Astyanax mexicanus: one gene and its partner. The protein of the gene in region 2 binds, or shares a complex with, the protein of the main gene of each other region. Links are inferred from orthologs where the notes say so. Each region holds a gene or a part of one and is shown on either strand. Other genes may lie near its edges.

Region 1 (12,867 bases), on a different chromosome or scaffold from region 2:
TTTATTACTTCAAAGGAACACATTTCAGCTATTATTACAAAATATAGTTTAGGGTTTAGTGCCTCTTTAAAGTTATGTGCAAGCTATTGTTTTCTTTACATTTTCATTTCAACTATATAAATTTTTTTTAACGTACAGTAAGCAGCTTTTATATATAACCTAGAGTTGCACGGTGTACCGAAGGTTCGATTCTTTTTCGATACTACGTCATCACAAACGATTCGGTTCTTTAGCGTTCGATGCTTTCGATACTGTACATAGCCCAGTCACTAGCTTCAAATGAGTCAAATTAGTAGGCGCGATTTGATTCAGTTCATAAGAAAACTGATTCACACCGCAGCAGTCGGAGTGGCAGGATTCAGATAAACTTAGTGTTCTGAACAAATGAATCGATTCACGTGTGAATCGATTCATTTGACTCGGTTGAGAGCGACACACGCACGCGCAAGCCAGCAGAGCAGCAGCGAGTGTAGAATGGCGACAGCTAAAATAACAGATGTCTCTCGTCCGCGACTTGGACAAAACGGGCGCGAGGAGTGAAGTGTGGGCAAATTTTGCTTACATCGCTGATGAAGAAGGGCATCCGACCAACACCACAAACCCAGTTTGTAAACGGTGTTATAAGTCTATCCAGTGCAGAGGAGTAGAGCTTAGATTCTCTGCCCGAACCCGAACTGACCCGAGGCACGTTCGGGCCGAGATTTCCCACCACATTCCTCGGGCCGGGTCGGGTTCGGGCTCCAGAAAATAGTCTGAGATGCAGGCATCTGTTTTTTATTTATATTTTTATTTTTAAATAAAATAACGAAAACTGAAAGTGAAACTAAACTACTTTATTTATAAGCACTGTTTTCACTCCCGCAGTTGCACAGCGGGGGGTGTTGTGCCGATTCTGTCCGCGAAGCGGGAGTCGGATTCAGTAGCGGATTCGGCACAAGCGTGGCGGCACCTCACGGCCCGCGGTGTTAGTTGTAAGCGCTCGCGCTAGCCGCAAAATACGACAGAAAACACTGAGGGAGCTGCAGAGTTATGTGTGGGACTAGAATATGAGCACGAGGAAATAAAAGAGAATCTTTACCTGTGAGTAGTTCACATCAGAACACGCAAATCTCTCTCTCTCACTCTTGCTGTGTCTCTCTCTCTGTGTCTCTCTCTCTGTGTCTCTCTCTGTCTCTCTCGCACGTGAACGCCTCCGCGTTTGACCTGCAGCACTGTGTTTAGCTGTTCTTAAAAATCATTTTAATTAAATAATAGTTCTATGCTTCTATGTTACAGTGTTATTTAACATAATTCTGATCATATTTCGCTCATTCAAACAGCCCGAAAACAGCCAGGATGTTCACGTTTTCGCGTTTCCATCGCAAATCTGTGGTCAGGCACATAGCCTGCTTGATCGTTACACTGAACATGGGCTTATTAAAAACGGTAAACGGTTGATTAATAAAACGGAGCAGTCAGTGTTAAAATGAACATAACATTGTAACGTTCTTCTGTCTCTTTATTTTCCTTATTCAGAACTTAACTTCTGCCCGCCCGTCAGGTTCACATAGTCAGGCTACCATTACCTCTGGTTCTAGTTTTAGTTTTTAGGAAGTGTTTAGATAATTATGTTATAGTTAAGGTTATAATAACGAAACTTGTTTTTTTGTTCAAATGTTTCATTTTAGAATAAAAACGTTTGCACCGATTGTTCAGTGTTCAATCCAGTTCAGTCAAAAATAAACATTTTATGTTCAGATATTTTTATTGTTTTTTTTCTTCCAAGTATCGTTTTGGTATCGAGAATCGTGATACTACAGTTGGTATCGGTATCGAAGTCAAAATTTTGGTATTGTGACAACCCTAACCCTATTTATATTTTGGTTACATATAAGAAAAATTGTAAAATTTGAAAATCTCTGTTATATAAAAAAAAGTTCTTTAAAGGTTTCTGACAGAAGCAAATATACCAGTCTGTCTACTGAGATTCACTCTGCAGCTTCTATATGTAAAGGATCTCCATTTTCCTATTTTGAAAGTCGCAGATTAATTCCATTCCATGATTCCATTAATTCCATTCCATATCTAATTAATATAAACTCCCACCCCTAACTATTGTACATTCATTTTTTTTTTTTACTTTTTGTAAAAATGCTCCAAAATGACATGAATTTCAGTCCTTTTACACTGAATTCCATTGAAGTTTAGAAGGTTCATACTATATTATTTATTTTTGCATGAGTTTTTCTGAGAATAATTTTTTAAACTACAGTGGTGGATGTGTACATGCAGAGTGTTGCAGTCCTTGGTTTCCATTAAATACAAATCATTTGGTTTCACTGTAACACTTTACTTGGAGCGTCCATTTTTGATGCTTCATAGACGCATCAATATATCTATTAATTGCAAGTAAAACAAATGATTCTCTATTTAATGTAACCCTAAACCTGTACCCAAAACCTTACTATTTTAGGTTTAGGTTTAGGATTAAGTTTAGGTTATTTTTGGGGTTAAATTTTTTGAGTTGATTTAAGATTAGAGTTAGGGTTGAGCGTTAGAGTTAGGTGTATAGTCCATAGAGAAACATTTTCATTCAGCTGAAGGGTCAGTTGCATGGAACAAATTTTTAGTTAAATGTAAATTTAAATAATAAGTGAGCATCTACAAGGCATCTTTAATGAACCATGCAAATAAAGTGATATCATTAGTTCCTCTACACTGAACCATTAGAAACCACTATCAAGGATTTTGTTTACAGATACATATGTTCATTAGATGAAGATTTTGAAAGAAACACTATATTTTCGCATTTAATTTTTTTAAATTAAGCAACAAATTAAAGAAGCAAGAAATACGGACACCAAGTCATATCCTGGCTAAATGACTACACTCAGTGTAAATTTGATTCTTGATAAAGCATAACTTTAACGCAGAATATATGAGCAGAAGATGCCTAAATGCTTACCTGTAATAAGACAGCGTCCGTGGTGGTGCATCAGGTCTCTCCTGATCCAGCTCTCGGAACACAGCCTCCGGCAACTTCACAGCCGGGCCAGCCATGTTACCATGATGATGCGAACCCTCCTTTTTCTTCTCTTTACTCTTGTGTTTACCGGATTTGGGTGTGGCCCCAGTCCCCTTTCCCCCATTGGCTGCACCAGGGGTGTCTGGCCTGTCCTTCCCGTTACCCCCGCCATCAGTCCCGCCCCCATCACCCCCATTACAAGCAGTGGAGCCTCCTGCACCAGAGGCAGGTGCATCCTCAGCATCGCTGTCTTCCTCCGACACAACGTCCAGGTCCTCGAAAATGCTGATCCGGTGCACTTTGCCGCCGATCTCAAGCTCCACCATGCGCTGAGCTTGGGCATAAGTCATAGTCTCCCTTTCAGGAGAATGGGAGTGTTCAGAGTGCTCCGCCGGACTGCCAGGCGTTCCACTTTGCCCGGGCAGTCCAGGCCCACCGCTGGAGTCTGCCCCGTCAACCGAGCCAGAGAGGGAGACCCGCGGCGGGCGACCCTTACGCTTCTTCTGGGGTGTGCTCTGGATGGGAGGTGGGTTGTCATGGTCATAGTGGTACAGGTGGTACTCGATGCCGCTGTAGCTCTTGTAGACCTTGCGGCAAGTTTCAATAGGGCACTCGTAGGGCGGTTTGGTGGCCCGTAGGTTGTGGCAGAATGTTTTCACGTCGAAGTCCAGCCCCATGCTGTCCGCAGACCCTGCAGAGAAGAGGTCCAGCTTACATCTGGTAAAAAAGGAAAGAAAATAAAAATGGAATTAAAAGAGTGCACTATGTACTGTTCAGAGTCCTCCACCAAGTCATAATTACGAGATGCTAAGTCACAATTATACCTCATAAATAAGATACAGTGGTATGAAAAGTTTGGGCACCCTTGATATTTTTGTGATTTTCCTTTATAAATCAATGGTTGTTCAGATCAGCAACTTCAGTTAAATTCATCATATAGCAGACAAACAGTGAAATTTGAGAAGTGAAATAAAGTGTGCAAGAAGGCTGTTTATGCCCAAACAACTCAATTTTAGTTTCATCAGTCCACAGCACCTTATTTCAAAAATGTAGCTGGCTTGTCCAAATGTGCTTCAGCATACCTCAAGCGACTCTGTTTGTGGCGTGTGCTCAGAAAAGGCTTCTCCTGCATTATTATCCCATACAGCCTCTACTTGTGCAAAGTGTGCTGAATAGTTGAACAAGACATAGTGACTCCATCTGCAGCAAGAGGATGATGCAGCTCTTTAGAGATGGTCTGTGGGTTGAGTTTGACTGTTCTCCCCATCCCTCTCCTCTGCTTATCTGAGATTTTTTAACTGCCTGCCACTTTAGGCCTTAACTGGAACTGTGCCTGTGGTCTTCCATTTCCTCTCCATGTTCCTCACAGTGGAAATTTTTGTATTCTTTTTGTACTCTTCCCCTAAACCATGATGTTGAACAATCATTTGAGAGTTGTTCTAAAGCTCCCATGTTGTCACGCTTCAGAGAAGATGCAGAAGAAAAACTTGCAATTGTTCACCTTAACCTTTATTGATTCAAATCAATAAAATGACAAGGGTGCCCAAATTTATGCACGTCTAATTTTGTTTAAAGAATTATTACACGCTTTCTGTAAATTCTATAAACCCACTTCCCAAATATCAATGTGTTCGTCTGCTATAGAATATATTTAACTGAAATTGCTGATCCTAACAAACTACTGACCTATACAGGAAAATCATAAAAAATGATCAGGTGTGCCCATACTTTTTCATACCACTAATTTCATACCCCCAGATTTAACTCAGAAGTATGACTTACTATCTTGTAATCGTGACTTACCATCTCATAATTATGACTTAATATCGCAATTGTAACTTAGTGGAGGACCCTCGCTTTTTTCCGCGTGGCGGGAAATGTGTTTCCACAGTTTGTGATTAGCCTGGTTAGCTATAAGTTCAGAGCATCTCTGTAGCTTCAATGTTTCCCTCCAGTGGCTCTCCTCCCTCAGGCTCCTCTAACAGAGAACTGCCTACTCACTGCCACAGTCACTAAGCAGCAAAAAATAGGTTTAAAATGCCTGTTTTGTTAATTTGCTGCTTTAAAATAGATTAGTCCTCTCAGTGTTCCATAACCCGTGGTTACAGTAACCATAGGTAATGTATTTACTTCTACAGCTCCACCAGCAGCTCCCTCACTCACTGCAGTGAACGAGCAGCAGGGAGGCTAGCCCAGCTAGTGCACTAGCTACCTGTCTGCATCTTAACCAGCTAAATCTGAAAATAAGCAGTTTTAGAGCTGTATGGTGAGCGAGTTCAGCTAAAGAGACCCCTAAACTGGTCTCTGTATCCAGTAAAAGGCAGTAATTCTCCCACCCAGAACAGAAGGAACTGTTAGAAACACTCACTCCTCCTCCTGCCTTCTCTTGTCAACAGCAGCACAATATCCAGCTCAAGATCCGGCGGAGACGCTCCAAAACCAGCGAGATTCACACAGAAAATATCCCTGAATCTGAGCCGACACAGCTTTAATCACAGCGGGTTAAAACGTATGAAATCCCCCGTAAATCAGCCTGAAAACAGAATAAAAGCTACAGGAACTGAAGCGAACAAAAGGGGCTACAGTTGAATCCCACAGGCGCGTGGCCGCACATTCGCCATTTTCACATGACAAGCCAGTAATTATTGTGGCCGCCAACGACTAGAGTGAGGAGGTGAGTAACCCAGGTCCATAAAATAAAAATCCACCCCAGGGTTTTGTACCAACGGCCTGGGCGGCTAAGCTGCGGCAGAGCCTGGGGTGGATTTTTACTTTTTGGACCTGGGTTACCCACCTCTAGTTGTTGCTTTCATTAAAAATATGTAACGTTATATATCTAAACAGTGAACTTTAAATTTATTAGATAAATAAAGCCTGCACTGCCGGAAACTCGCGCAGGCTAAAACTCGCCTATGTATGTTGGTTAGTTAGTTAGCTTAGCTTAGCTCGGGTTAGCTAGCTAGTTAGCTACTTCCTTCCTGAGCCTGTTTTGAACCTTTTCGCGAATCAGTGGATACATTTCACAGTAAGCGGTTAGTTACGGGTCTCTCCCAGTCTGTCGGAGAGATTTAATATTCCTGTATTTATTGTGGGGAAAATGTATTTAATGTGTAAAAGTGGAAACATACAGGGTGGGGAATTCCTTTTAAATAAAATGACAAATAAAAAAATGTATTTAATTTTTGTTGCAAAATCTTACCCTAGTTGGTTTAGCAGTTTCATTTTCTGACCATATCAAGCTAAATTCGAAAATAGAAATTTGGGCATTAGTATAGTGATAGTGAAGAATAAATAGGTTTTCTTCCAATTTTTAAATTATCTAGTGTTTCATTTTATCCTTTCGCAAACAGAATTTCAAGAAAAATGAAAAGTTGAATCTTCTTTTCAGATTTGTCCATTTTTGGACATTTTGTAATACAAACCTGATGATATAATTCAACTTGCAAAATGCAAAAATCTGAAAAATCTAAAAGATTCATTTAATTTTTTCCTGAAATTCTGATTGTGAGGGACAGAGAAGAAAAAAAAAATAAAATGAGAAAAATTGATAAAAAATCTCTTGTACACTGTACCATGTAAAAAAAAAAGAAATAATGGTTTTGTTTTGTTGGTCAGTGTTACTTTTTTTTATTAAATTTCCAGACAGTTTGAGGTTAAATGCAAAAAAAAAAAAAAAAAAACCTGAAAATTGGATGTAGAAATAGATTAATTCTTTTTTTATGTTGTGCAGTGTACAAGAGAAAAAAAAATTTATCCATTTTTCAATTTTAGTTTTTCATCTCTGCCCCTCACTATTTTAGGAAAAATGAAAAAATGAACCATTTACTTGCTGATTTTTCAATTTTTGCATTTTGCAATTTGGTTTAAAACATCAGATTTGTGTTACAAGGTACAAAAATGATTTTATATATATACACACAATAAGTCTGATTTGTTACATTTTATTTATACTAAATAGGGATGCACCCCATTAAAGGTAAAGAGGAAAATTGCTCAGGTGATATAGTAAAGCCGGAATAACTGAACAGGTAAATCTCTGAAAAGTTTAGCCTCCAGTCTTTTCAGATTTTTTTTTTTTTTTTGCATAAACAAATTATTATTTAGAAAACACGTTTATCAAGAGAACATACCAGAACTAAATGCACATTAAAACCAGCAATGCCAAACCAGAGAATCTCTAGAGAGGAGAATAAATGGGTTTATGTGGAACAACTGATGGAAAAGGTTTATAAATGTCTGATCAATTTAATACTGAAACACAGAACTATATCAAATGTTTCAGTACTGTAGGCCTTACTTTAAGTTTGTGTAACTCCAGCATCAGATTATCAACCAATCAGATCACAGTAGCAGAGATGCAGCATCTTTACAGTGTAAAGCCAGCTTGTTTACTGTAGAAAAAAGGAAATAACGCTACGCTTTCTTTACATTTTTTAGTAAAATGAATTATAATACTTTCTAAAATTGAAGAAATATCCAGAATAAGTTTCTAATTACTATTTTTAATTTAAAGGTTTTAGCTTTTGGGTCCATTCACACCTGTTCATAGAGGACATAGTGTGACAGTGATTTAAGGATAAAACGGGGAAATAAAGCGGTGAGACTCTCAGTAAACAGCTCTGGTCCTGCAACAGACCCGTTGTTCTCTCTTTTCTGTGATCCCTTTGGCTGAATGTAGCCGCTGCTCTTTTTATTTGTACTGGTCAGAATTTAATTACGGTTGTGTGTCCCTGGTCTTTATACACTATAGAGAACCAGAACTGCTAAAATAAAAATAAAAATAATTACTAAATAAAATAGAAAATGTAAAAGAGAATAAGAATATAAAAACACAACTCATTTATATGCAACATAAACTAATGCCAATAATCACAAATTCAGTGTATAAATAAATAATATTCTTTTAACACATTTCTTCTGTATACAAATCTGAACCTTTTGTTCAGTTTATTTAGTCAAGCTTTTTCCGTGTATTTATTTTATTTATACACTGCATCAATAAATTAATTTAACATTTCATGTTGCATAACTAATCTCTATTTTTTTATTATTATGGGCAATTCCACTGAATAGGTGCCATTTCTGTCCCCAGGTATAAATGTATAAATGTGCACACAAAATAACTTTAAAATACATTTTATAATTAAGCATAGCGTCTTGTACATTTGTCTAATGAGGTAATTAAAAACATTAATAAAAAAATAGAACACTAAAAGAATAGCATTAGTTACACGTCCCCACTCTCTAACTATGAACTTCACCATCAAATCTAATTATTAAAATCCTTCAGAGATGTATTTTTCGCATTGTTGTGTGACTCCAAATCCTATATATGTTGTACAAATATTTTTTTGCGTAATAAATCCATAATATTTAACTTAAAATACACATTTTAGTTGTGTCCCTGGGTTATTACTTAGTCCTGTTACAGTAAAACGTGAGGTCGATCTCAGCACTCTGTCCTGTTACCTAAATTCATTCTTAGATAGTATTTGTTTATTTTTAAAATACAAATTTTGGGAAATCACTAGAATGTGTTCAGTGTCCTCATGTTATTAGCATAGCCACCACTTAGCTATTTTCATGTTTTTGCTAATTCTATGCTATGCAGGACTCAGTCCTGTTACTTTCAGTCCTTTCATTCCATAAATATGTTATTTGAACATGCAGTTAACCATTTCTTTAAAAAAAAAACTCTTTGAGGGAAAAGTATTTTATTAGTGCACTTGCTTTTAAGAATGATTTTTAAACGTCACATGTGTTTTGTAACCATTTTTGAATTAGAAACCAAAATAATTAAGTAAAACTGTCTGAGATTGACCAGTACATGTTTTGAATAGTTTATTACATGTGTTATTAGATTCAGAGTTAAAAAAAGATGAGAAAAAATGTTTAATTTGGAAGAATTACAACAAGCAAATGGCACCCATTCAGTAGAATGGCCCACATAAATAATTTCTTTCATTATTTCTGCCAAAAAAAAGTGCAATATGCATTAATGTGACAGGTGCAAAAGTATGGGCACCCTTATCATTTTATTGAATACTCCTAACTACTTTTTACTGACATACTGAAGCACAAAATTGGTTTGGTAACCTCATTGAGCTTTGAACTTCATAGCCAAGTGTAAGTTGTAAGGTGTAAGGTGGCCAATTGCAAGTTGTTCTCCTATTTGAATCTCCTCTGAAGAGGGGCATCATGGGCTCATCAACATAATTGTTCAGGGGAAGTTTCCACTGTGAGGAACATAGTAAGGAAAGACAGGGACACAGGGGCAGTTCTTGTTAAGCCCAGAAGTGGCAGGTCAAGAAAAATATCAGAAAGGCAGAGAAGAAGAATGGTGAGAACAGTCAAGGACAATCCACAGACCACCTCCAAAGAGCTGCAGCATCATCTTGCTGCAGATGGTGTCACTGTGCATCGGTCAACAATACAGCGCACTTTGCACAAGGAGAAGCTGTATGGGAGAGTGATGCGAAAGAAGCCATTTCTGCAAACACGCCACAAACAGAGTCGCCTGACCCAAAAGCTGTGCTTTTGCATACCTCAGGCGACTCTGGTTGTGGCGTGCATATATAGTTATATATATATATATATATATATATAGCTGCAAGAAAAAGTATGTGAATCCTTTGGGGATTACTAAAGAGTTCTGATCTTCATCTACGTCACAACAATAAACAAACACAGTCTGCTTAAACTAACACCACACAAAATATATGTTTGCATGGTTTTATTGAACACAACTTGTTAATATTCACAGTGCAGGGTGAAAAAAGTATGTGAAACCCTCAGCTAGGTGTATTTAATTAGAATTCAGTACGTATTCAGTATTTTGTCAGGCCAAGGTCTAGATCGTTATAATTTTTAACTTGTGTTGTGATTCAGTGCTATATCCTGTATCAGGGGTGCAACTACAGGTCCTTCTCAAAATATTTGCATATTGTGATAAAGTTCATTATTTTCTGTAATGTACTGATAAACATTAGACTTTCATATATTTTAGATTCATTACACACAACTGAAGTAGTTCAAGACTTTTATTGTTTTAATATTGATGATTTTGGCAAAAAAAGTAAAGAAAAAAACATAAATCCCTATCTCAAAAAATGTGCATATTTCATCCAACTAATTATGAAAAGTGTTTTTAATACAAAAAAAAGTCAACGTTCAAATAATTATGTTCAGTTATGCACTCAATACTTGGTCTAAATCCTTTTGCAGAAATGACTGCTTCAATGCGGTGTGGCATGGAGGCAATCAGCCTGTGGCACTGCTGAGGTGTTATGGAGGCCCAGGATGCTTCGATAGCGGCCTTAAGCTCATCCAGAGTGTCGGGTCTTCCGTCTCTCAACTTTCTCTTCACAATAGCCCACAGATTCTCTATGGGCTTCAGGTCAGGAGAGTTGGCAGGCCAATTGAGCACAGTAATACCATGGTCAGTAAACCATTTCCCAGTGGTTTTGGCACTGTGAGCAGGTGCCAGGTCGTGGTGAAAAATGAAATCTTCATCTCCATAAAGCTTTTCAGCAGATGGAAGCATGAAGTGCTCCAAAATCTCCTGATAGCTAGCTGCATTGACCCTGCCCTTGATAAAACACAGTGGACCAACACCAGCAGCTGACATGGCACCCCAGACCATCCCTGACTGTGGGTACTTGACACTGGACTTCAGGCATTTTGGCATTTCTTTCTCCCCAGTTTTCCTCCAGACTCTGGCACCTTGATTTCCGAATGACTTGCAAAAATTGAGCAACAGTCCAGTGCTGTTCTAGACCAGCCACAGCCGCTTGCAACTCTCTGCGTGTAACGCAGTAGTTCCACTCCGCTTTATCCAAACGCCTGCTAAAATACGAGATTACGCGTTTAGCCCCGTCGTAAATTTATGACAGGACTGCCCCAATGCCGTGGTCGCTCGCATCCGTATCGACCACAAACTGTTTGTTCAGTCTAGGGTACGCCAGAATTGACGTTTTACACAAGCGCTTCTTTAGCAGCCCAAAAGCATGATCAGCTTCACTCGACCACTTGAATTTAGTCCCGCCCTTCGTCAGCTGATGCAGCGGCGCAGCAATATCGGCAAATATCCTCACAATAGTATGACGCTGGCCCCAAAAAGCCACGTAACGTCTTCAAATTACACGCCGTTGGCCAATCTAGTACAGCTTTAGTTTTCTCCAGGTCCAACGCAATCCCCACCTCGCTCACTACGTGCACTAAGTAGTTCACTTTGTTCTGCAGTAAATTACACTTCACCGGGTTCAGCTTCAAATTAGCCGCAATAATTAGACCCAATACTAGCTCCAAATTTGCCAGAGCTCAATGCGTGGACCAACAAATCATCCAGGTACACTACGCAGGTGGACTTGGGGATGTCCTCTAATACGCGCTCCATCAAACGCTTGAATGTTGCCGCCGTGTTGCAAAGCCCGAACGGCAGAACGCGAAACTGCCATAGTTCTGTCTTAAACGTTAAAGCAGTTTTTTCGTCCGACTCCGCTAACGGAATTTGCCAATATCCACTACGCAAATCGAGTGTACTAAACCATGCGGACCCAGATAGTTGTTCCAAAGAGTCGTCAATATGCGGAAATGGGTATGAATCCAGCTTAGTGACCGCATTTAGTTTCTGTAATCCACGCAAAAACGGCATGACCCATATTTCTTTACCACGGTAAAGTTAGTTTCATTTTTGATATTCGACATTTCGGCTCTAATAACTTCTGAACGGAGGATGGTAGCCAGCAGATACTTACATAATCAGGACAGTACGACCACAGAGAGTGACGCACACCCTTGCTTTTACTGTTTGGGTGAAATTTGCGCAACGCCCTTTTAATACCGAAAAACTAAGCGCACTTTTATGCAAAATGCTCTAATTTTTTATTATATTTTATATATTCACAAATTCAATAGCATTTCAGCAACTGTGTATGTCACAGCTAGGTGGCAGCAGACACGCACACCATTTATATTTTGGATACAGTGTCAATTCTAGTGAATATTACATTTTATATATTTAAAAAAATCAATAGAATTTAAACCGAATTACACAGAACACTAAAAATAAGTGTGTATGATACAGCTAGGTGTCAGGAAACACACACACTCTTTAAAATTTGGATACATTGCCAATTCTACTAATTATTAAATTATATATATTTTAAAATGTAATAGCTTTCAAACCGAATTACACAGAACACTAAAAACAAGTGTGTATGATACAGTTAGGTGGCAACAAACACACACATGCTTTATATTTATGATACAGTGCCAATTCTACATATTATTAAATTATATATATTTTAAAATTCAATAGCTTTTAAACTCAATTACACAGAATAATAAAAAACAAGTGTGTATGCTACAGCTAGGTGGCAGCAAACACACACACACTTTAAAATTTGGATACATTGCCAATTCAACTAATTATTAAATTATATACATTTTAAAATTCAATAGCTTTCAAACCGAATCACACAGAATAATAAAAACAAGTGTGTATGATACAGCTAGGTGGCAGCAAACACGCTCACTCTTTATATTTATGATACACTGCCAAAGACTGATGGACACACTGTAGGGCTGAAAGTGGGTTATCAATGAAAAATTCTTCTGTGCCCTGAAGGTTCTTGCATTCACAAGCAGTGGGGCTGTTTTTTGGAAAGCATTCAAAATCTAAAATGTGTATGTTTGTGGGCATCTTGCAGTTGCTAAAAGCGTACACACTTGTTTTTATTATTCTGTGTAATTGAGTTTAAAAGCTATTGAATTTTAAAATATATAAAATTTAATATGTAGAATTGGCAGTGTATCATAAATATAAAGCGTGTGTGTGTTTGTTGCCACCTAACTGTATCATA
Region 2 (12,809 bases):
CTCTCTCCACTCTTCCCTCTCTTCCCGTCCCTCACACATTCCCAGTCCCTCCAGTGCTTAAAGCTGCAGGCGGAGACTGGAAAACAGGCCTGGCAGCCACCCACCAACCACAGCGCTCCCCTCCACATCCCCCTAAACCACCACCGCCCATCATGCACCATCGCCACCACCGCCCACCACACAGGAACACCCCACCCAAAACTTCATAACACTTCATAACCTGTTATTTACACACCTTCATCTTCTATACTGTTCAGAATAGTACCATAGTACGGCTGTATTCAATATATCGACAGCACAGCTTCTCCAGGACCCTTACACCAGAACAGGACACCACCACAAAAATAATAATATTACCAAATAAATTTTCTGTTCCACATATGACAGGACAACTCCACCAAAATTTAACCAACACCCTCACAAACTCGCACAAGCCAGACCACAAAAAAAAAACCCAACAAAATTTACCATCTCTCTTCTTATGTCTGACCACCAAAATCATTCTTTTCTGTCCCACACCTCACATCACATCACCCCCACAAAACACACTTTCACCAACACCAACTAACTTTCTTTCCCACAGGATCATTACTCCACCAAAATTTCAATTTTTGACGCATAACGTACAGGATTACTCCACCAAAATCACATTTTTATGCCCCGCATCGTTGTACGGCTGTATTCAATATATCGACAGCACAGCTTCTCCAGGACCCTTACACCAGAACAGGACACCACCACAAAAATAATAATATTACCAAATAAATTTTCTGTTCCACATATGACAGGACAACTCCGCCAAAATTTAACCAACACCCTCACAAACTCGCACAAGCCAGACCACAAAAAAACCCAACAAAATTTACCATCTCTCTTCTTATGTCTGACCACCAAAATCATTCTTTTCTGTCCCACACCTCACATCACATCACCCCCACAAAACACACTTTCACCAACACCAACTAACTTTCTTTCCCACAGGATCATTACTCCACCAAAATTTCAATTTTTGACGCATAACGTACAGGATTACTCCACCAAAATCACATTTTTATGCCCCGCATCGTACAGCAGGGTCAGCAAGCGTGAAACATCTGGCTCGTGAGGTTGTTTGAACTGTAATGAACAATAATGAAAAAATGAATGAAAAAATTTTATTAATAAAATAAATAAAATGCTTCTCTGGTGAGCTTTTGTTTACATCCCTCCCCTGTCTCTCTCTCTCTGTCGCTCTCGGCAGTTCTTGTTTTTTCTCGTTCTCCTTATAAGGTTGTTTTTTCCTGGTCATGTCCCAATTCACTAGCCGAGGCAGCGTTAGTGTATTGGGCCGCGACCCTGAGGACACGGGTTGGATCCCGCGTGAGGAGCAGTGTGTTCAGTTATTGTCTTTTCTCCTTACTTCTTAAGTTTACCTGCTTCATTTTCAAAAAAAGGTTTTTTTTTTTTGTTACCTGCAACAAAATGGCTTAGAAAATATATGACGTGGCCAAAACTAAGTGCCGACCCCACATCATAAAGGACTCTACCAAAACCCTAAGTTTATGTCCCACACCGTATTGGACCACTCCACCAAACCCTAAATATTATGTCCCATATCGTACATGATCACTCCACCAAAACCCTAATTTCACCAAAAATTTTACCACTTACACCAGAACAGGACAAACAATCAGACCACAAAAAAACTAAATTTTACCAAATATCTCTCCTTTTGTCCAAACACCAAAATCATGCTTTTCTGTTCCACACTTCATATTACTTCAGCAAAACACACTTTCACCAACAACAACTTTCTTCCCACAGGATCACTCCACCAAAACCCTCAATTTTTGACGCACATCGTACAGGATTACTCCACCAAAACACACTTGTCTTCAAGATATTTCAACTAGATCACTAGACCAAAACCCTAACCCTAAAAATAACCAAAACCTGTCCCACATCTAACTCCATAAAAACACTTAATTTAAACAAATTTCCCTCTCCAACCACCTTTTTTAGGGCGTTTTCACACCAGCACAGCACTATTTGGTTTGGTTAAAATGGACTCTGATTGGTTTGTACTCTTAGTGCAGTTCAATTGAGCAGGTGTGAAAACAGTAACGGTCTCAATCTGACCCAGCTATCAAATATACTCTTTTTATTTGAGTTAAACTCCTGATATAGCGCAGTTTAATCTGATATATTAGCCAGCTAATGGTAATTACCACAGCTATGAACAAACGCTGTATCTGCTGCTCCATGCTGTTTACACACTGAGTGCGGTATGAGCTGTGTGCACTGCTTACAGCCGAGCAATTCCGTTTAATACGTGTACATCTGAACTGCTGCATGTCATATTAAAAACACAGTGCCATGTCAATTTTTCAGCGTCCTGTGTTAAAGCAGCTTCACACCGCACAGATATAAAAGATATACACACTGGAACATAGAATCTTCTCGCTATGTATACTTTCTTACTCCAATATTAGACAGTTCTGACCAATCAGAGGAGACTATGACGTGCTTGCGTGGTTTATTTGTGCGAATTTTGATGCGTTTAAGGTTTTTGTGCCTGTGTGAAAACAAACCAAACAGAGGGAGAAACTGAAGCTCCAAATAAACAAACTCATCAACTGATTCAGACCATAGAAACCTTCACAACTACAGGTGTGAAAACGCACTTAAATATGTTTCACATTCTCAAAAGATCACTTTATTGGGTGGAGCTAAAACTGATAAACTGAAAAGATGTATACATGTAAATTTGATGTTTTTATGTACGTTCTGTAGCTTATTTTTCTGTAAATGGAGTGTGATTTAGCATGAACACATTTTAAACTTGAGGACTGTACAAAACAAAAACAATAGTTAAGCTTTTTGATAGAACAGGCTTAACTTTAAGCTAAAATTAACTAAACGGGAAACTCCTATTTTGTAAAACACATCCCTGCTAACTAGTTAACCCATATGCCGTGCATTTAAAGGAGGTTTAAAAGTTGCTCTGTCAAATTCTGCCAGTCAGAAATAGGAAATTGTAAAGAAACAGTAATTTCTGCTTAATATATTCATTCAAGCATATATTGTACACAGTGTATTAGATGCTGATGTGAGTTATTAGCTGAAAGTCAGCACTGAAGTTGAAGCTGGTGTGAAATAGAAACTGAAAGTAGCCTGGTTGGTATAAGAAGCCGGGTGGTGTGTGTATATATGAGCTAAACGCTACGCTACATCCGCCTCCAGCGCTCTAATGTGGTTTAGACTGAAGCTCTTTCTTTCATTAAGGAAAGAGTGGGCTATTTCTGAACGGTTGTGCTTCTACTCTGCTTCTGAACCACGTACACAACAGCCTTAAAAGTGCTGTTCACAACTGTTTCCACTTTCCTTAATTGTATTCAATCAATAAATCAATTAATCAATCAATCAGGACACATTTAGGGTGTGAAGCTTAACACCCACGATCTGGAGAATCCCCTGCCCTGCACACTTTACCGCTCTTTACCTGAACCCAACACACCTGATCCAACTAATCAGCTCATTAACAAGCTTCACCTGAGTAGAAGGTAAAGTACTTCAGGTGTGAAAACTCTCAAAAATAAATAAATAAAAGAACTGAGGCTAAATGGCTTCTGCAATCCTTCAAGTACAGGTCTTTTGTTATTTCAGTCATTTCTCATTTTCTGTAAATAAATGCTCTAAATGAGAATATTTTTATTTGTAATTTGGGAGAAATGTTGTCTGTAGTTTATAGAATAAAACAACAATGTTCATTTTACTCAAACATAAACCTATAAATAGCAAAATCAGAGAAACTGATTCAGAAACTGAAGTGATCTCTTCATTTTTTACAGAGATGTATATTCCATGTTAAAATATCTCCAAAGTAATTTTTTTGTTAATTTTGCTCCCATTTTTATTTTTTCAACGTTTTGCCAAATTGCCAAGAATCTTATCATCGTAAAAGTAACCTGAAATATTGTGATATTTTCTTTAAGGGCATAGCACACTATTCTCTGCGATTATCCTGTGGGAAAGGGAATCTTCTACAGTTCTACAGTAAGTTTGTTCAGATTTAGTCTGATCCAGTCTTAATATGTTCAGTAATTATATATATATATATATATATATATATATATACAGTATGCTGTTTGCAGAAGGACGCAAACACATAGGATTTTGCGTTTAGTTGCTCTCAAAAATACTCTACTTAAAGTGGACACAACATTTCTGCCAGTCAACCATAAATATATAAGATATAACCACAACCTGTTCACAGACGCAATGGAATTGCGGAAAACTACAAGTTATTCAGCTCTGGGGGAAAAATGAGACCACCTTTTCTCTGATTTTGCTATTTATAGGTTTATGTTTGAGTAAAATGAACATTGTTGTTTTATTCTTATTCTCCCTAGTAATAATAAGTCATTTAGAGCATTTATTTACAGAAAATGACTGGAAAATTGCAGAAATTGCATTAAAAAAATAACAAAACCGATGCAGAGCTTTCAGACATTGAATAGTGCAAAGAAAACAAGTTCACAATATTTGGTGGAATAACCAAATATTGCATCTTGGCATCATGTTCTCCTCCACCAGTCTTACACACTGCTTTTGGATAACTTTATGCTGCTTTACTCCTGGTGCAAAAATTAATTCAAGCAGTTCAGTTTGGTGGTTTGATGGTTTTTAAAGATTACCTGTCTTCCTCTTGATTATGTTCTAGAGGTTTTCAATTTGGTAAAATCAAAATAAATTTAATCATTTTTAAGTGGTCTAATTTTTTCCAGAGCTATATTTGTTGGACGCAATAAAGCAAACCCTAAAGCTAATGCTAGCTACACAGTGGTTGGAAGCCAAGGTCATTTTTGTCGCCAAAACCAAAATCAGACCCATTTCTACGCTACACCAATGCTAAATGATAAAATAAAACATATTACATAAGTGTTGGTGCTTTTGTCGTTTCTTACCCGATCCTTCTCGTGCGGCAGCAGGCGAACGGGAGGCAGCGACTCCAGCGATACGCAGCCGGTGCCGTCGCTGTGGGAGCTGCGGCTGATCAGCCGGAAGAGCGGCCCCTGCTTGGCGACTCGGCCGTGGGCTACGGCGCGTTTCAGCGCCAGCCTCAGCTGCTGGTGGAAGATGCCGGGTCCCATGGAGCCGCTGCCCGACAGGTAGCCGGCCACGTCGGCCTGGCACTTCAGGAAGCGTTCGATGCTCTTGATGGTAGAACCTCCGGCCTCGTGGAGACCATCCAGAGCACGTTTGATCAGCTTGTTCCAGTCCAGGCCTGGCTTTTTGGAAGAACCGGAGGTGCTACTACTTCCACCACCTCCACCACCACCACTACTACCACTACCACCACCGCCACCGCCTCCACCTCCACCTCCTCCGCCGCTCGCACCTCCACCTCGCGGCTTGGGAAGAGCGAGGCGACCAGGATTGTCTGGATCCTTGTAGGAATTGAGGCCTTTATTGGAGACCTTGAGGATGGACCCGTCTTTGACGCTGAGTTCAAGGTGCTCCAAGACCGTCTTGCGGTCCAGGCCGTGCGACATGTTCACGGCATTGCAGATCCTCTCCTCAGAAGGCCTCTGCTTCTGCTTCTTCACCTTCTTGATGGCCTCGAGGATCCAGGTGGTGTAGAGCGGATTGGCCAGCTTCACCATGGTTGCGTTCGGTTAGAGACACAGACGAACAAACAAACAAACGAACGAACGAAACGAACGCTCAAGCGCACGAAAACCGTTCAGGAAGCACCCAAAGGCCTCAGCCCCGGCGCCACCCGTTCCTCGCCCGCGCCTCCTCCTCCTGGACGTCCTCAGAGACTACCCTTTGTCCCTGGGCCGTGTGGAAAGTCTCTCAAAGCCTGAGCAGAAGCAATGAGGGAGGGGGCTGATCACCATAGCATTAGCTTTTAGCCCCACCACCTACCCCAGATTTTTACCCCCCCCCACCCCCAAAAAAAGGTCCTAGCTACCCCAGCAACCCCCCTCCTACCACTGCTGGGTAGCACCACAGCTAAAAGAGAACGCCCAATCACGGCTGGGCTTGTCCGGGACAATTCCACGTTGAAGAACGTGAAGCAGCTTGCAATATGTTGGTGGACACCAACCGGCGTCTTCCCGAAAAAAAAAAGACGAAGAAAATGTTTTTAAACTCCAAAAGGTACGAGAGATAGGATAAGGAATGAGATCAGGAAGTTTTATCCAATCGAAAAATGTATAATCTCCTCAGTTTGTGGCCGTGGAAAAAAAAAATTTAACAAAAAAAAAAAACAAAAAAATAAAATAATGCAGAGGGTAATGTGGACGTCACGCAGCGGTTCTCCTCTCTTTATCCGTCCGTTATCCTTTCTTTCCACCGCCGTCCACGCTTTACACTTTTTCGCAGAAGGTCGGGAGTAAATCCAGTAAACCGTCCACTCAGGAGGAGATCACCTTCATGCCGAGCTGGTCTTCAGCCGCTGCTGATTTCTGCATAAAACACAAAGATAAAAAAAAAAATACAGAAATTAATAAGAGAAATTATATTCTTCTAGAAATAGCATTAAATAATGTGTGCTTTTAATTTATAACATATATTAGGTTTAGAAACTCCTCACTGTGAACTAAAACAATATATACTACAATTTAAAAGTTTTAAAAACACCCCTATTGTTTAGTAGTCCAGTAGCTGCTTTTTATTTTATCTTAAGCTTATCAATAACTTTATTACTGCACTTCTTCACTTGTCAGACTAACTCAAATTCTTCTCTTCTCTGCTGAAACTGAGACTTAGTCCAAATCATGTTAATCTGAGCTAAAGGCTAAAGGGGCTGTTTCCATGTGGGTCAGCCAGACATCTTCCTGAAGCAGTTATCTCCAGTTTCCAAAAGTCTTTTGAAGGTTTAGGAAATATATAATAGCTGTTTGGGGCAGAATCTGCCAAATCGCTAGTGTTTTCACTGGTTTGGGAGGTGTTTTGGTTGTGTAATATGTCTTGTATAGGCAGGTGTGTTTACACTGCTATAACTTTAGGTTTAAAAAGGTCTCAGACCACCTCCTAAAGTTTGTATTTGTTTTAAATTCACTTTGCACATGTTTACACTAGCATTGTTAATAAAGATTAACCCAAATATAATCCTGATTGATAATCCAAATTAAGTCCTGTAGTCAGCAGGTGTAAACTGGTCAAAGTGACTTTGGCAGCTTTAGCATTCCCATACTCAGCCCAGAAAATAAAAACAGATCTGTTCACATTAAAGCAAATAATTAAGATTTGAGTCACTTCAGCCTGGTAATAAGTACACAGCTTTAGCTGCTATTCCATCTTCAGAATCTGGAATATTCACCAGTTCAGCCCCCCAAAATAAACAAAAAGCTCTCTCCATCTTCTTGACGGAAAACATCTCAGCGACTCCACAGATTAAAAACTCATCCATTTCCTTGATACGTAAACTCAGACAGGTGAGCAAACAAACTGACCTGACCTGCGCTGAACTCATACAAGAAAGGTTAACCTAGTCTCCACACCCAAGACCTTGTATCTCCTTTGGCCTACACTACATTCACTAATGAGAACTGCAAAAAAAATACAAAAGCAAACAAGAAAACACTGAGGATGTACGATAACAATAGAGCTTTGCTTGTTTCACATTCATTGGGACAGTCACTGACAAAATGTAACATTACTTCAGTATATTTATTTAGAATGGCAGAAATTAGGCAAAAAAGCCTATTTGAGGCTAAAGCTGTTGCCATGTGGGTCAGCCGGATATAGATATCTGACAGATATTTGGGCAGAATCTGAAAATCTCTCATGGAATGGTAATTACAACTGTTTTCCACTGGTTTGGGAAGTGTTTTAGTTGTGGTACTTTCCTTGTATAGACATATTAAGTTTAAATAGGTCTCAGACTTCCTCCTGAAGTGGTCAGAGCGATCTGATTTTCGTATCTGTTTTAAATTCACTCTGCGTGCGTTTAAACTAGCATTGTTAATGTGGATCTGCCCAGATATAATCCTTATTGATATGCAAAATTCCTGCAGTCAGCAGGTGTAAACTGGTCAAAGTGACTCCGATGTTTATTTATTCAGAACGGCAGAAATTAAGACTAAATCCACTTGGGGAACTTCAGCCGAGTTCAATTAATACAGCAACAAATCCCATTCAAATTAAACATGTACACTATGATTGATAAAGGTCATTGTGCATGTTTACTGCTTAGTTCTTAAGGAAACTTACTGCGAACCTTAACGAAACAGAAAGCACATTCCCCAAATTAAACTTTAACTATTTACTTAGCTTTACTGCATTATAGTCTTTGTAAAGGACACAAGCATATAAGTACACAAATACACACACTAAATATATTTATGATCACTACTAAAACACAAATTATGGTTTATCCTAAAGTTTTTGACCCAGTTCTGCTGTATTTATGACCTGTGTTTGTACTCTCAGATTTAGAAAAAGCTCAGAACCGCACTACTGTTTTGAATGAAAGCTGAACAGATAATGTAAACAGCAATGGCTAAACCCTGAACACAAGATTTAAGGATCTAATTTGGGATTTCAACAAAAAGCACTGAAGAGAAGTGTGCCTGACAGAGTCTACAACAAAAACAAAACCAAGCAGACTGAAGAAAACTTGTTTATAATTTTTCATTTAGTCACCACTGCTAAAAACAGCACAATAAGTTTTGAAGCCACATTTTTTGACCAAGTTCTACTGTATTTATGGCCTGTGTGTGTACTCTCAGAGTCAGAGGAAACTCAAAACTGCACTATTGTTTTGAATGGAGCTAAACACAGGATGTACACAGCGATGGCTAGCCAAGAAACAAGTTGCTAAATAAAAAAGACCAACGGAAATCATTCTAAATTTGTAAATACAAGGAATATCACCATTAAAACTCTGAAACAGTAGATTTAAGGGATCTAATTCGGGATATCAACAAAAAGCATTGAAGAGGAGCATGCCTGACAGAGGCTACAACCAAAACAAAACAAGCAGAAGAAAACACGTGTTTACACTCCTTACAAGTTTTTAAATTTAGTTTTAGATTTTAGTTGGAAACAACTTAAGTATTTAGGACTAAGTTACTTTCAAAACAACTAGCTTAGGTTAGCTCACCTATCCAAGTCTGTTTACAGCTAACAGCTTTGAAAACCGAGTCGTTTTAAGCCTATTTGACACAGAAATATAATACAGATTTACTTCAAACATGTCAAAAACTTAAACATATGAAATAACTAGGTAAAAACATAACACTAACACAAGCACTGAGCTAACCTACGCTAACTAACAACAGAAATAACACTACTGTAGATATAACAGCTAGCTAGCCACACTAAAAAGGAGTGTTTAACAAATCTATTGTAAACGTACACGCATTTTAAACGTTCAAAATGGGATAAAATACAAATATCGCTATTAAAGATAAAAACTATAAATATAAAAAGCACAGAAAAGCTACGATACTAATAGTTAACTTACATACCCAACCACCTTCCCGCTATCCTGAGTTTCTTTTGGGTTAGCTTAGCATAGCGAATCCAAAAAATGCAGCCGAAAAAGGGAGGAAAATGAAACAAATCGGAGAAAAACGTGTCTGATCTGCGTTAAAAATAAGAAGTATACACTGTCTGCGAACAAAAACGAAGACTAAACACGTAAAACAAACCAAAACAGGCTTAAATCCCGTTACAACGTACGAAAACACACACACAGAGGCAGGTTAGCTGGCTAGCTTCAGTTAGCTATTTTCGTACGTGGTTCTTTCGATAGCTTAGCATTAGCTTTAGCATTAGCATATCAAATCCACAATGCAGTCCGAACAGAGGTAACGTTAAGTTATAAGAGATAAGCAACAAATGTAGGTATTTAGGTTAAAAAAGAAGGAGTACATATTATTAACGAATTAAAATACGCAATAAAAATGTCCAACAACGCAAAAGCAGGTTTAAAATATGCGTAAGGAAAAAAACACGTTAGAGAGGAAAGCGCTTAGTTTTTAGCTTAGCCTACCAGCTCTCTATTTTCCGTGCGTTTTCCTATGGCTGTTAGCATTAGCTTAGCGTTAGCTTTCAGCGTTAGCTTAGCATTAGCCGATCTCCCACTGAGAAAGCCGCGGCCTGCCGACACACACACAATGCGAGGAGCGAAGCGCGAGGAGACGGGGCACGATTCCTCTCGTTTTACGCTCATTTTGTGCACATTTCTACACAAAATATGTGCGAAATATATTTACCAAACACATCTACGCATTCTAAACTACAGATCTATCCATATTACTGCGCGAAAGGTTCGTTTTTAAAGCATAAAATCACGATTCTTCCATAGGTTGGATAGCTAGCTTAGCTTGGCTTGGCTAGTTACCTCCCTCCCTCCTCCTCCTCCTTCTTCCCCCCGCTTACATTCTAGCTCTGCGCGGCCTCCAATTTTTCCCGAGAAAAAGCTTTTAAATCGCTAAATCTGAGCTAAATCAGATTTTTAAGAAAATCTATAGTGTTAATCACCGTGTAAATGTATAAGCAAACCCCGCGAAAGAAAGGTAGATAACATAGCTAAGCTAACCAGGTTACACCCGCTAGCGCTACTAGCCCGAGAGCGGTCCAGCGCAGGAGGCTCAGCCCGGCAGCGCGACGCGGGCCCCGGCTAGCGCTCTGAGTTTTCCCCGCTCTCGCTGCGCCCCCTACCGATCGTCCCCTCTAACCGCAGCCCCCCGAGCTCCACAGCCCCGCGTCCCCCCGCTCCTCCCCCTCCCAGGCTGGGTTGTTTCAAACCGGGACGGACCCTCTCCCTTTCCCCCCTCCTCCTCCTCCTCCTCTTCCCTCCCTTTATAAAAATAATAAACAAACACAGAAAAGAGCGTTTTAAAGCCGGCTGAATCAGCCCCGCCGCTTACCGGGGTTTGAGGTCGAGTCTCCGCAGAGAGCGCGCCGAGGAGCCGAGAGGAACGCGGACAACAACAAGCCCGAAGCAGCGCAGCCAGAGAGCGGAGGCTCCGGAGCGGCCGCCATCTTTCAGTGAAACAGGAGCGCTGGTGGGGAGGAGGTGGAGGTGGGGGGGAGAGGCGGAGTGAGGGAGCGTCGCCAAACTCACACACCCTGTTCAGAAACGAAAAGTGAAGCGTGGGGAGTTGTAGTTGTAGAAGTGTGTGTGTGTGTGTGTGTGTGTGTGTATGACAGGGTTCGTACAAGGGCTGTGCAATACTGCAAAATTTCTTATCGATCCAATACCAAGTAAATACAGGGCCAGTATTGCAGATACCAATACCAATATCCATCTTTACCATCAAGCGGCCGGCGCTCAGAGGGAGCACAATTGGCCCTGCTCCCTCCGGGTGGGTAGATGGCGCTCTTTCCCTAAAGGGTGATGTCCGCAGCACAGGGCGTCTGTGAGCTGATGTATCAGAACTGAGACTCTGTGCTTTCCTCCGAGCGTTATCGCTGTGATGCTGCTCGGCAATGCTGCATCAGCAGCAGCTGGAAAAGAAGCGGTGGCTGACTTCACATGTATCAGAGGAAGCATGTGTTATTCTTCACCCTCCTGGTGTGTTGGGGCATCACTGATTAGTGGGTTGGGTAATTGGCTGTGCTAAATTGGGGAGAAAATGGGAAAAGTTTAGGAAAAAAGATTTCCTTTAATTACCCATGTTTTGATGATGATAAAACACAGGACAAAGGTTTCAGGCAATTTAAATAAATTTATAAGGTAACTCAGAAATATTTATAGAAATCCTAAAACTTACATTTCCCTTTTGGGTGGTAATCTGCAATTGCATTTAACAAAATGCTAATTTGACAGTATTTCATGTTTAAGGCATAGCTATATCTTTTTGTAGGTAGGATATCTATTTTCTTTTTCAGTTCCAGTGAAAAAAAATTAATTTAGAAAAGGGGAGAGGCTAATTGAGCATGAGTGAAGTGAGAGAAGATGTTGTACGGTCAGTCAGTCACACTGTAAATGCCTGGAGTTGTACCGAAGGTAAACTGAAACTTAAGAATAAATCTCTTCACACAAGTATCGATAAATACCCAATACCAATTTCAGTATTGATAGTTCGTATGGTCATGAAAAACCTTGAAAAGTCATGGGATTTGAAAATAGCAATTTCCTGAATAAGTTTTGGAAAAATAAAAATACCTAGAAAGTTTAGGAAAAGTCATGGAATTTTGGTTTACAAATCTTTGTGTTTCAGTTTATCGATGGAGAAATTCAATTTGAGCTACTAAATAAGTCATCTCAGAGTTAATGCAGTAATTTAGACCTAAACAATGGAGCTCTCAGGACCTGACTCACATTTTATTATTAAAAATTGTGTGTCAGATTCATTTTAGACCTGCTATAATAATTTTGTTTATAGTTTTAGTTGATTTTTGGTTTTACTGTCCATGTCTGCACTGATGTTTTAAAAACCATATGATCATGAAAATGTGCCTTAAAGGCCTGGAAAAAGTCATGAAAATAATCATGGAAATTTATTGATTAAATGTGTATAAACCCTGATATGGTTTGGAGTTAAATCTGTGTGACCAGAACCTGATCCAAAAAAACATGATTCTTGAAAATAAAGGGTGTGAAATATATATATATATACCCTCAAATATTTAGATATTTAAAATTCAGGTACAGAAATTTCAGTTTAGAACAGTTTTGAGATGATAATGAGAGATAACTCAAATTGTGGCTAAATAAAATAATTCAGGTACAAAATTTTAGGTAAAAAAATCATGTATCAAAAAAAATCAGGGATTTAAAATTCAGGTCGTTATTGATGCTAAGAATCATTCTTCTACAAAAACATCACATTCTGATAACTACAAATTTTACTAATTACATTTTT

Evidence for each region.
Region 1: kat6a (region 2) and brpf1 share a complex: the UniProt entries of both Homo sapiens proteins name them as parts of the MOZ/MORF complex. The link is inferred for Astyanax mexicanus from reciprocal best matches to the Homo sapiens genes KAT6A and BRPF1.

Annotation. Positions count from the first base shown.
Region 1 is NC_064419.1:13,070,015-13,082,881, reverse strand, and holds the start of brpf1 (peregrin), read right to left. Parts: upstream 5,961-12,867; 5' UTR 5,373-5,960; intron 5,297-5,372; exon of another isoform or gene 4,808-5,296; intron 3,722-4,807; 5' UTR 3,682-3,721; coding exon 2,945-3,681; intron 1-2,944. UniProt on the Homo sapiens protein: Scaffold subunit of various histone acetyltransferase (HAT) complexes, such as the MOZ/MORF and HBO1 complexes, which have a histone H3 acetyltransferase activity.
Region 2 is NC_064429.1:37,473,990-37,486,798, forward strand, and holds the start of kat6a (histone acetyltransferase KAT6A), read right to left. Parts: upstream 5,924-12,809; 5' UTR 5,646-5,923; coding exon 4,947-5,645; intron 1-4,946. UniProt on the Homo sapiens protein: Histone acetyltransferase that acetylates lysine residues in histone H3 and histone H4 (in vitro). Component of the MOZ/MORF complex which has a histone H3 acetyltransferase activity. May act as a transcriptional coactivator for RUNX1 and RUNX2.